Neurospora crassa OR74A: one gene and its partner. The protein of the gene in region 2 binds, or shares a complex with, the protein of the main gene of each other region. Links are inferred from orthologs where the notes say so. Each region holds a gene or a part of one and is shown on either strand. Other genes may lie near its edges. The genes, in order: NCU03889 and NCU04943.

What was found.
Region 1: NCU04943 (region 2) and NCU03889 share a complex: the UniProt entries of both Schizosaccharomyces pombe proteins name them as parts of the SNARE complex. The link is inferred for Neurospora crassa OR74A from reciprocal best matches to the Schizosaccharomyces pombe genes bos1 and sft1.

Annotation. Positions count from the first base shown.
Region 1 is NC_026506.1:2,053,138-2,057,399, forward strand, and holds NCU03889 (SNARE), read left to right. Parts: upstream 1-1,462; 5' UTR 1,463-2,070; coding exon 2,071-2,205; intron 2,206-2,271; coding exon 2,272-2,433; 3' UTR 2,434-3,573; downstream 3,574-4,262. Other genes in the region: NCU03888 (DUF500 and SH3 domain-containing protein), read right to left, coding at 1-459, 518-621, 720-756; NCU03890 (stromal membrane-associated protein), read right to left, coding at 3,574-4,262. UniProt on the Schizosaccharomyces pombe protein: Vesicle SNARE required for retrograde transport within the Golgi complex.
Region 2 is NC_026504.1:819,378-823,163, reverse strand, and holds NCU04943 (V-SNARE protein Bos1), read right to left. Parts: upstream 2,182-3,786; 5' UTR 1,965-2,181; coding exon 1,962-1,964; intron 1,860-1,961; coding exon 1,068-1,859; 3' UTR 768-1,067; downstream 1-767. Other genes in the region: NCU04944 (thiamine pyrophosphokinase Thi80), read left to right, coding at 1-558; NCU11043 (hypothetical protein), read right to left, coding at 2,842-3,168, 3,514-3,786. UniProt on the Schizosaccharomyces pombe protein: SNARE required for targeting and fusion of ER-derived transport vesicles with the Golgi complex.

The DNA of each region.
Region 1 (4,262 bases), on a different chromosome or scaffold from region 2:
GGGGCGCTCGGCTCCTGAAAGGAGCTCCTTGGCGGAAACCTGACGACCATAGAGCTTTGCATTGGCGTCTTTTCGCTCGATTATCATAGAACCTTCGAGAGACACGCCAGCAAACAAGCCCTTGGTCTTGGAATAACTGAAGATGCCCGCTACGCTTCTCAGCGAAGCGGCTCCGGCGGCCTCGGCATTTCTACCGACAGGCCCGGCCGCGACCGAAACGTTACCACCAAGTGTAAGTGACCCAGCTTGGGCGAAGGTTTTTACGGCGCTCGCGTCGTTGAGAATGAAAACGAAATCTGTAAGCTCGAAACCGATCTGACCGCCGAAGCCGGCACCACCCGTAGCAATGGCGGTGGGGGCAGACCAGCTGCCGTCGGGGAGGCGGGCGACTACCAGGCCGCTACCGAAACGGGCAGATCCGAGGAAACCAGCTTTGATGACGGTGAGTATAGCAAGACCCTAGGAGAACGTTAACCACCTGGTCGCTTTCGTTGAGGTTGCGGATGCTGTTTCGTACCTTGGCATTCGCGAGCACTGATGGCGGTATCACCTTGTCGGGACCAAAGGCTTGTTTGGGCTCGATGAAGGAGGCGAGGATTTTACCGCACTTCTTACATTCCGCTGGTTACAGACGTGTTAGGATGTCGGATTCGGCGAAGCGAAGGGGAGTTGCGGGGTCGGGCTCGCACAGCACGGGAACCCCGGGGACACAAACTCACACGAAAGTGACGACGGAAGAGGGTTGTTGATACCCATCTTGAAGTGTCGAAGCGGAACTCCCTATAGCGGACTGGCGCGGGTCTTGAAGGGCGAGGGCGTGTAGAGCGGCTGCGGTGAGAATGCCGTGGAAATGCGACAGCGACAGCGAAATATTAGAAAGAAAGAAAGAGATGGAGTTCGTCAGTCATTTCTCGGGACACTGGCCGATCAATGCCTGCAGGCACACTGGCAGGCAAGCAAGTAAGCAGATCAGCCCGGTCAATTTCTTGTGTACATAGTAAATGCGAGGTTGGTACCTGGGCGTCCCCACAACGGCGGTTTGTCAAGATGCTGGGGAGATCCTTGGGGTCACTTGTTGTTCGTGATGAACGATCTTGTTCCCGGAGGATAAGCCTTTGTGCGTGCTCTTTTGTTGGTGTAACTGTCCGTTTGAGAGTTTGTTTTTTTCCCTCTTCTTCACAGATCGGAGTAACTGATGAGCGAGGCTAAACAGTGGCATGGAATTCATCACAGTCAACATTTGAAATGGAAGTACTTGGAAATGGAAGCTGGAGCTCGTGCCGCGCGTCATGTGAGAACTGTAGCACTGGACCCTCAATCACTGGAGACGCTGGGATGGGCTTGGGCAAGCACTGCCGCCGTGGGCTGTGCAGTAGCGTACACTACTGTACCTCTACTTCTCTACTTTACTCCGTCCCTGCGCCCTGCACCTTCCACTTTGAATACCCGGGCCTTGTCCAGCGGGCAGAGCAGAGCGGGCGTTCGTCGTTACGTAGGTGACTGACTGACGGGACCCAAAGTTGCAGTGGCCCGACCACGAGCACAATCAAATGGCTCCAGCAGGCTCCGCTCCCCCCGAAAAAGACCCCGCATTGACCATGCATGTGCTTTACGCGCAGCCACACGTAAATGGCCGAAACTGACATCATTCGCGACTAGGAGGCCGTAGCTGTGGCTGGTGTATGCATCAACAAGCTGCAGTGAGCCGGCCGCCCCCATCATGATGGATGCATGATCCCGGTGTCCTTTCATTGTGACCCTGAACTGAGTGCATCTGGAACCTGCTACAACCTACCCCCTTTTGACATCCCCATAGCACTCAGCAATACCTAGGAACACCACGGCTTCACTCCGAACAACGGACGCTGCAAGACACCGAAGCCGACCCCCGCGCGCGCGACAAAATAACACGTAATAACATCTTCGATAATACGAAACTCGGGCCATATCAGCGAGTTCCAATTAACCCGATACTCAAAACTGACGAGTGAACCTCCCACACGGCCGCTGAGCGAGTCGCAACATACAACTACGACCACAACACAACCCCCCCCCATTACCATTATCAAGATGTCCGCAAACTACGAGCGCGAGCGCCAAAATAATGCGCGCCTCGACGAGCTAGCCTCCAAGGTTTCTGCCCTTCGAGGTGTAACGATTGACATTTACGACCAGGCGCGCAACCACGAAGTTATCGACCAAACGGTACGGTTCCTTTGATTTTACTCTGCACAAAATAACAAACTGACAAGTCCCACCAACAACGAACAGACCGATACCTTCTCCTCCATGGGCTCTCAACTCAAAGGTTCCGCCACCCGTCTAGGCCGCATGGCCGCATCGGGGAACAAGGTCGCCATTCTCAAGCTCTCGGGTATTCTTATTGGGAGCTTCCTGGTCATTTACTATCTTTATCGACTTTTTGTTGGTTAAATGATTCAAAAAGTCACGACGTGTGAGAGGGCTAAAGTCGTTTGAATATTGGGTCTATTGGGTCTATTGAACTTCGACATGCGAATACATGCCAGGAAGCAAAAGGAAGGGAGGTTCTCTTCATCGGGTTCACTACAACAACACAGGGCGAAGGATGTAGAGGGCGGCACGATTCGATTCCCGACAAATATCAGGAATGATAAGACGGATGCGTGCGAAGCCGGACATCAAGACAGGATGGAGCTTGTCCGGATAGCTTGTTGGATGTTGGAGTGCTGGTACAGGCGATGTGCAGTCCGCTTGCTCCCACAAAAGCCGCTACTAGTATTGCGCAGAGGAGGTGCAATGTAGGGTGGGGCAATGGGTGGGAGGGTAGCAGGTCACGCAGGACCGTAGGTCTGTGTTTTGGTGGATTCTGAACGAAGTGTGGATTTTGGTTTACAGACTGGGCTTAATGTTTTGTCTCGACAACAGACGGGTAGATGCAAAGGCATAGCAATGGCGTTGACGGTTCGGTTTTGTTTGTTTATTTGGGATTTGGTTTCTGCGTACCTTAGGTTGTCATTGATACGTCGTGTCGTATAAGCCAGACATCGACATTTCTCAGTCTCATCCTTGATTTTTCATTTTGAAACTTCAAGGACATCAGAAGGACATTAATGAGGGCAACACACACCTTACAAAAGATAGGAGGATCCTATATAAAAGTGCATTACTTTTGCCCTACCAACGAACAATAACTTGTTGTCTATAATGTAAATATGCCAAAACAAAACATGACTTGCTGATGTAAGAATGACTGCGTTGTTCATCATTCCCCTATTTGTCACGCATAAACCATCATTTGCCTAACTCTTAACTAGATCAGACTCCCACAGCATAAGTACGACATGGTGTTCGTGGATAGCATCCCCTTTCCAGTCAGGTGGTATAGAAGGAAAAACAAGTTCGGACGCTTGATGGGTTTGGTTTGGTTTGGTATAAGTTTGTCCGAGCTATTTCTCACATCACCTGCCGGTTGATTATATATTTACATGGTCGGCATCAGGCGCGAGGACAACAGCAAAAATCCCAGTAGACTGCACTCGGTTACCTCTGAACCCCATGTCGGAGATCCCTGAATTGTCGTTCTAAGGTTTCTTATTGCCAGACGTTTGAGAACAGGTCGTCACTGCCACCAAAACCGGTAGCCGGCTTGGATCCGCTCGGAGCAGCTGGTGTGGTAGTGCTGCTCATCCAGCCCCCAAACTCCTCATCGGCCGCCACCTTTGGTGCTGGGGCAAAGCCGCCCGAAGCGCTGGGGACAATAGGTTGGCTTGCGAAGGAGCCGCCGGTAGTGGAGGAGGTGGTGGTGCTGTTGCCCCATCCAAAATCGTTAGAAAGAGGGATAGAGGTAACAGGTGCTGGCTTGGGCGGTTCAGGAGCCGCAGGCTTGGGGGGCTCAGGGGCGGAGGCCCACTCGTTGGAACCCCATACACCTGCATCTGACCAGGCGTTAGACGTCGCAATAGAGGCAAGAGGGTTTGGTGTTGTTGAAGTAACGGCTGCAGGGGCCGGCGTGGTTGCGGCGGGCTTGGAAAGGTTGAATGCGGAGCTGAAGTCAGATGAAGGCTTCGGGGCGGCGGCCGAGGGAGGAGCGGTAGTAGCAGTAGCTGTTGTGGAAAAGTCAAACAGGTCACCGAGGGCGGAGGAAGCGGGCGCGGGCTTAGAGGCTGGCGCAGGAGGAGGGGTTGATGAGAAGCCCAGTGGGCTGCTGATGGACTGCTTGGATTGGTGGGAGGATGTGGCGGGCTTGGAATCGAAGAAGCTGCCACCGCTTAGGCCGGAAA
Region 2 (3,786 bases):
CGCACCTACTTCACCACCCACTCCTCTTCTCCCACTGCCAGCCAAACTGCAATCATCCACGAACCCAGCCAATACTCAACCGACTTTGCCAAGTCCGTTGACTACCTCCGCGGCCCCTCTTGCTCCAAACCGGACGCTCCACCCCCGGACATCGTCGCTATCGGCGGTCTCGGCGGCCGCGTCGACCAGGGCCTCTCCCAGCTTCACCACCTCTACCTCTTCCAGTCCTCGCCCACCTATGCGGACGGGAGGATGTACCTTTTCAGCGGGGAATCGCTCACTTTCCTGCTCAAATCGGGAACCCATCGCATCCGGGTGCGTGAGCCAGGCCAGGCGAATCAACCGGAGAAAGATGTATTCGCCAAGTGGGTGGGGATCTTACCGGTCAAAGAACCGAGCAGGATCTGGACAAAAGGATTGGAGTGGGATGTGGAGGATTGGCCGACTGAGTTTGGCGGGCAGGTTAGCACGAGCAATCATGTCTTGCCGGAGACGGAGGTGGTGGAGGTTAGGGCGACGAAGGATGTCTTGTTTACTATTGCGCTGAGGGACCTTTAGGGGGTGTCCTTTGGTGTGGTGGGGAGGAGACGCATGACGGGGGATTGGTTGGGTAGTTGGGTATAAGTTATAACCTCAAGGAGAGGAGAGGCCTGACTCGACCACCCGCGAGGAAAGATCAGAGGTGAAAATAGAGGGTACTCTGCTGTCAAACAACTACTGTTCCGGTCATTTTTTCTGCGTCCCGTACATGGTGGATGAAGGGAAAGGGCATATGGTACCTTTGTTTTGAATTGTTCACGCATTGCTGCCCATGATATTAGACCATGTTTGTTTAGTTAAAAAGTAAACCAGGCCAAGCCCAACACCCAAAACTCCGCGCTTGATGACTGTGAGACAGATGCCGCCGTCGCCGGGCCCCATGCCGCAATCTGAACGGACCTTCGCTAAGAGTCCTCCTCCACCGCTAATAAAATAACCCATCAACAATTAGTCCCGTCTGTCTCTTTTTCTTTTTTCCTTTCCCAAAAGACCCATGTTTCGACCACCAACGCAGCAACAAGCAAAGCTCACCTCAAATAATGCAACACCAACCAACAGAACAAGAAGAAAACCACCACGCCTCCCCAAAAGATCCACTTATCCTGCTTCGCCCTCCGCTCAATCATCCTGATCGTATCGCCACTGATCCCCAGCGTGTTGCCAACCGAGTACAGCTTCCGCTGCGTGTTCTTCATGATTTCCCTCTGTTGATTCAGATCCCCCAGCACCGCCTGGCCCCGCGCAATGTAATCGTCGAGCGCCGAGTGCGTGCTCCTAAAGAAATCCTGCTCCCTCAGCGCATGCTGCTCGCGACTCGCGTCCCCGGAGCCCAGTATGCCGCTGCTGCTGCTGCTCTGCATCCTCCCCGACTCCGCCAAGCTATTCGTCCTGGCATGCGATATTCCATACCCTCCACCACCCGTAGCGCTGCTTGTCGCCGTCGCACCAGCACCCGCATACGGATTCTCAGGCGTACTGGCCACAAACGGCCTGCGTCCCAACAGCTCGGCGCGGTTCTGCGCGTGCATGTGTTCCTCGCGCTTGGATTTCAGAGAGTCCAGCTGCGTGCGGAAGTCGTGCAGCTCGGACCGGAAGTTGCGTATCCTCTCGTAGGCCTTTTCTTGCTTGGCGGCGTTGAGCTCCTGCTTGGCGAGGTGGTTGTATTCGTCAATGGTCCGGTTGAAGGCGGTTAAGGAGGCCGAGAGGGAGCCCAAAGCGGCGGGCGTGAGAGAGGTCGGGTCGAGCTCGTGCGAGGAGAGGGCGGCGAGGTCCTTGCGGATGGAGGTGCTCTGCTTGAGAGCCGAGTTGAAGGTTGTGTTCTGGAAGAACAGAGGAGATGTTAGTTCAAGATAGTATGTATGGTTCATGAGAAGGGAATGGTGATGGTGTCTGTTGCTGGAGTGCCGTGCTGGTTGACTGACCATGTTGGGCTGACTTTCAGGGGTTCATGCGACAGTCGCTGAGCTTCGAAGCAAGACAAGCAAGCAAGCAGCAATGCTTCTCGTTGATGAGAGATGAAGTGAAGAGGATATTGTGTATTAGAAGCTATAGTAGATGGGTTACAAAACGATGGACCCCCAGAGTAGATAGGTAGCTTCAAGCTAAGTATTGTCAAATGCTTCTGGAAGCTTTGCAAGGTGGCATCTGCAATCGTTTAGAGTTGCGATTTGGACGGGAGTCTGGGATGCTTGCTCGAGGCTGTCTTGGCGGCTGCAGTTTAGCGCCGCGGATAGGGTGTATCTAACAGTTAGGTAGCTCCCGCCGGGTCTGGGCGCAAGTGGGTTTTGTGGGGAACTGTCCACAGCCATGGAGTGGAGGGATTCAGTTCCTTTTTCTGCTCTTCCACGTCAACCCCGTCCTCACCATCTTTCTTCACCAAGTGCCAACCACACCAGAAGACATGGAATCAAGAGCGCGTCCATGTACGATGCAAAGACGCTCAGGAACTCAAGCATGAGCCTGCAGGACCGCGTCAAACCTCCTTGCAGCTGCTCGTATGACATGTCATGCGCATCATCCTATGTTGGCATCACTTCGAGGACCAGGAATTGGCCAATCACTACTTAGCCAGATACAGCGATATACGGAGGAGGGACTCTTGATGAACCTCCCTTGAGTTTGACATGGTTCTCTGGATTCCACTCTAGCAGTCCACGAAGCTGCCCAAAGGAAATTGACATACTCTCTTCGATCCACCGGCACCCCATGACTTACGGTATTGGAGTCAACATACGGATGCTCTGGATGAGCGTCAATACAAAACCAATCCGCCTTGGTCGCAATTTTCCGAGTCTCGTTATCCTACCGGAACGAGCAAGTCTTCGGCGCAAGAGACTGTTGACCAGCGCCAAATGAACCGGTATACCAGGTTTCGGCATCACTCAGTTTGACGTCGTCATGGTAGACGAACACTGGGAAGTCGAAGAGGCTATTCTGAGTGTTGAGCCACAGGTTGAAGCTGATGGCTGCCAAGCTCATGCCGTCACCTGTGCTTTTGTCGAGCTCAAAGTTACCGAGGACCCGTGAGGGAGAGACGACAGAAGAGATGGTACTACCGTATACGATCGGGATGGGATCTTCGATAGTGTAGGGGACGTTGTTGAGAGGGCTTGGTCTTGAGCGGGGACACTGTCGGCTTGACAGTACGTGGCTTTCGACTCATACTGCACGTCACGTCAGAGGGAGAGTGGTGCTTCCTGTGCTTGCGATGCTTGCTCTATGGAGTCCTCGGGGTTAGCAGCCTTTTCCGCCCGAAAAAGACGGCCGATAAACCTACGGCTTTGCAGAATCCACATCGTCACATTACCACGTTTCGTTGCTCTTCAACTCCTAGTTTCTCGGGCACAATACGGCATTTGTTGTCTGGGTGCTATACCGACTCTTACGATCTGTACGCCCGCTGCAGTTAATCCGAAGACGTGGATCCTCTCCCGCGTCGGTCAGGAAGTAGTAGAGGCAACCGACTACATGCACCGTGGCTTCATTGGTGACTTGGAACTGGATTGACCGAGTCTGAATGTCAGAAGGTCCGTCTCCAGTCTCGTGGATGAAGATGATGGTTCCCAGTGTCCACTTTGGCGTTTTGGAAAGGGTACCACAGCCTGGATTCTTGTGCCCCGGCGGTCCCTCGGCGTATGCAGGCGTGATCGCATCAGGTCTTGAAAGCGAGCTCTTTATCAAGTCCACTGGGCTGGATGATTTGCACGCATCGCCGCCACAAATGAGAGGAATAGATGAGTTGCCAGA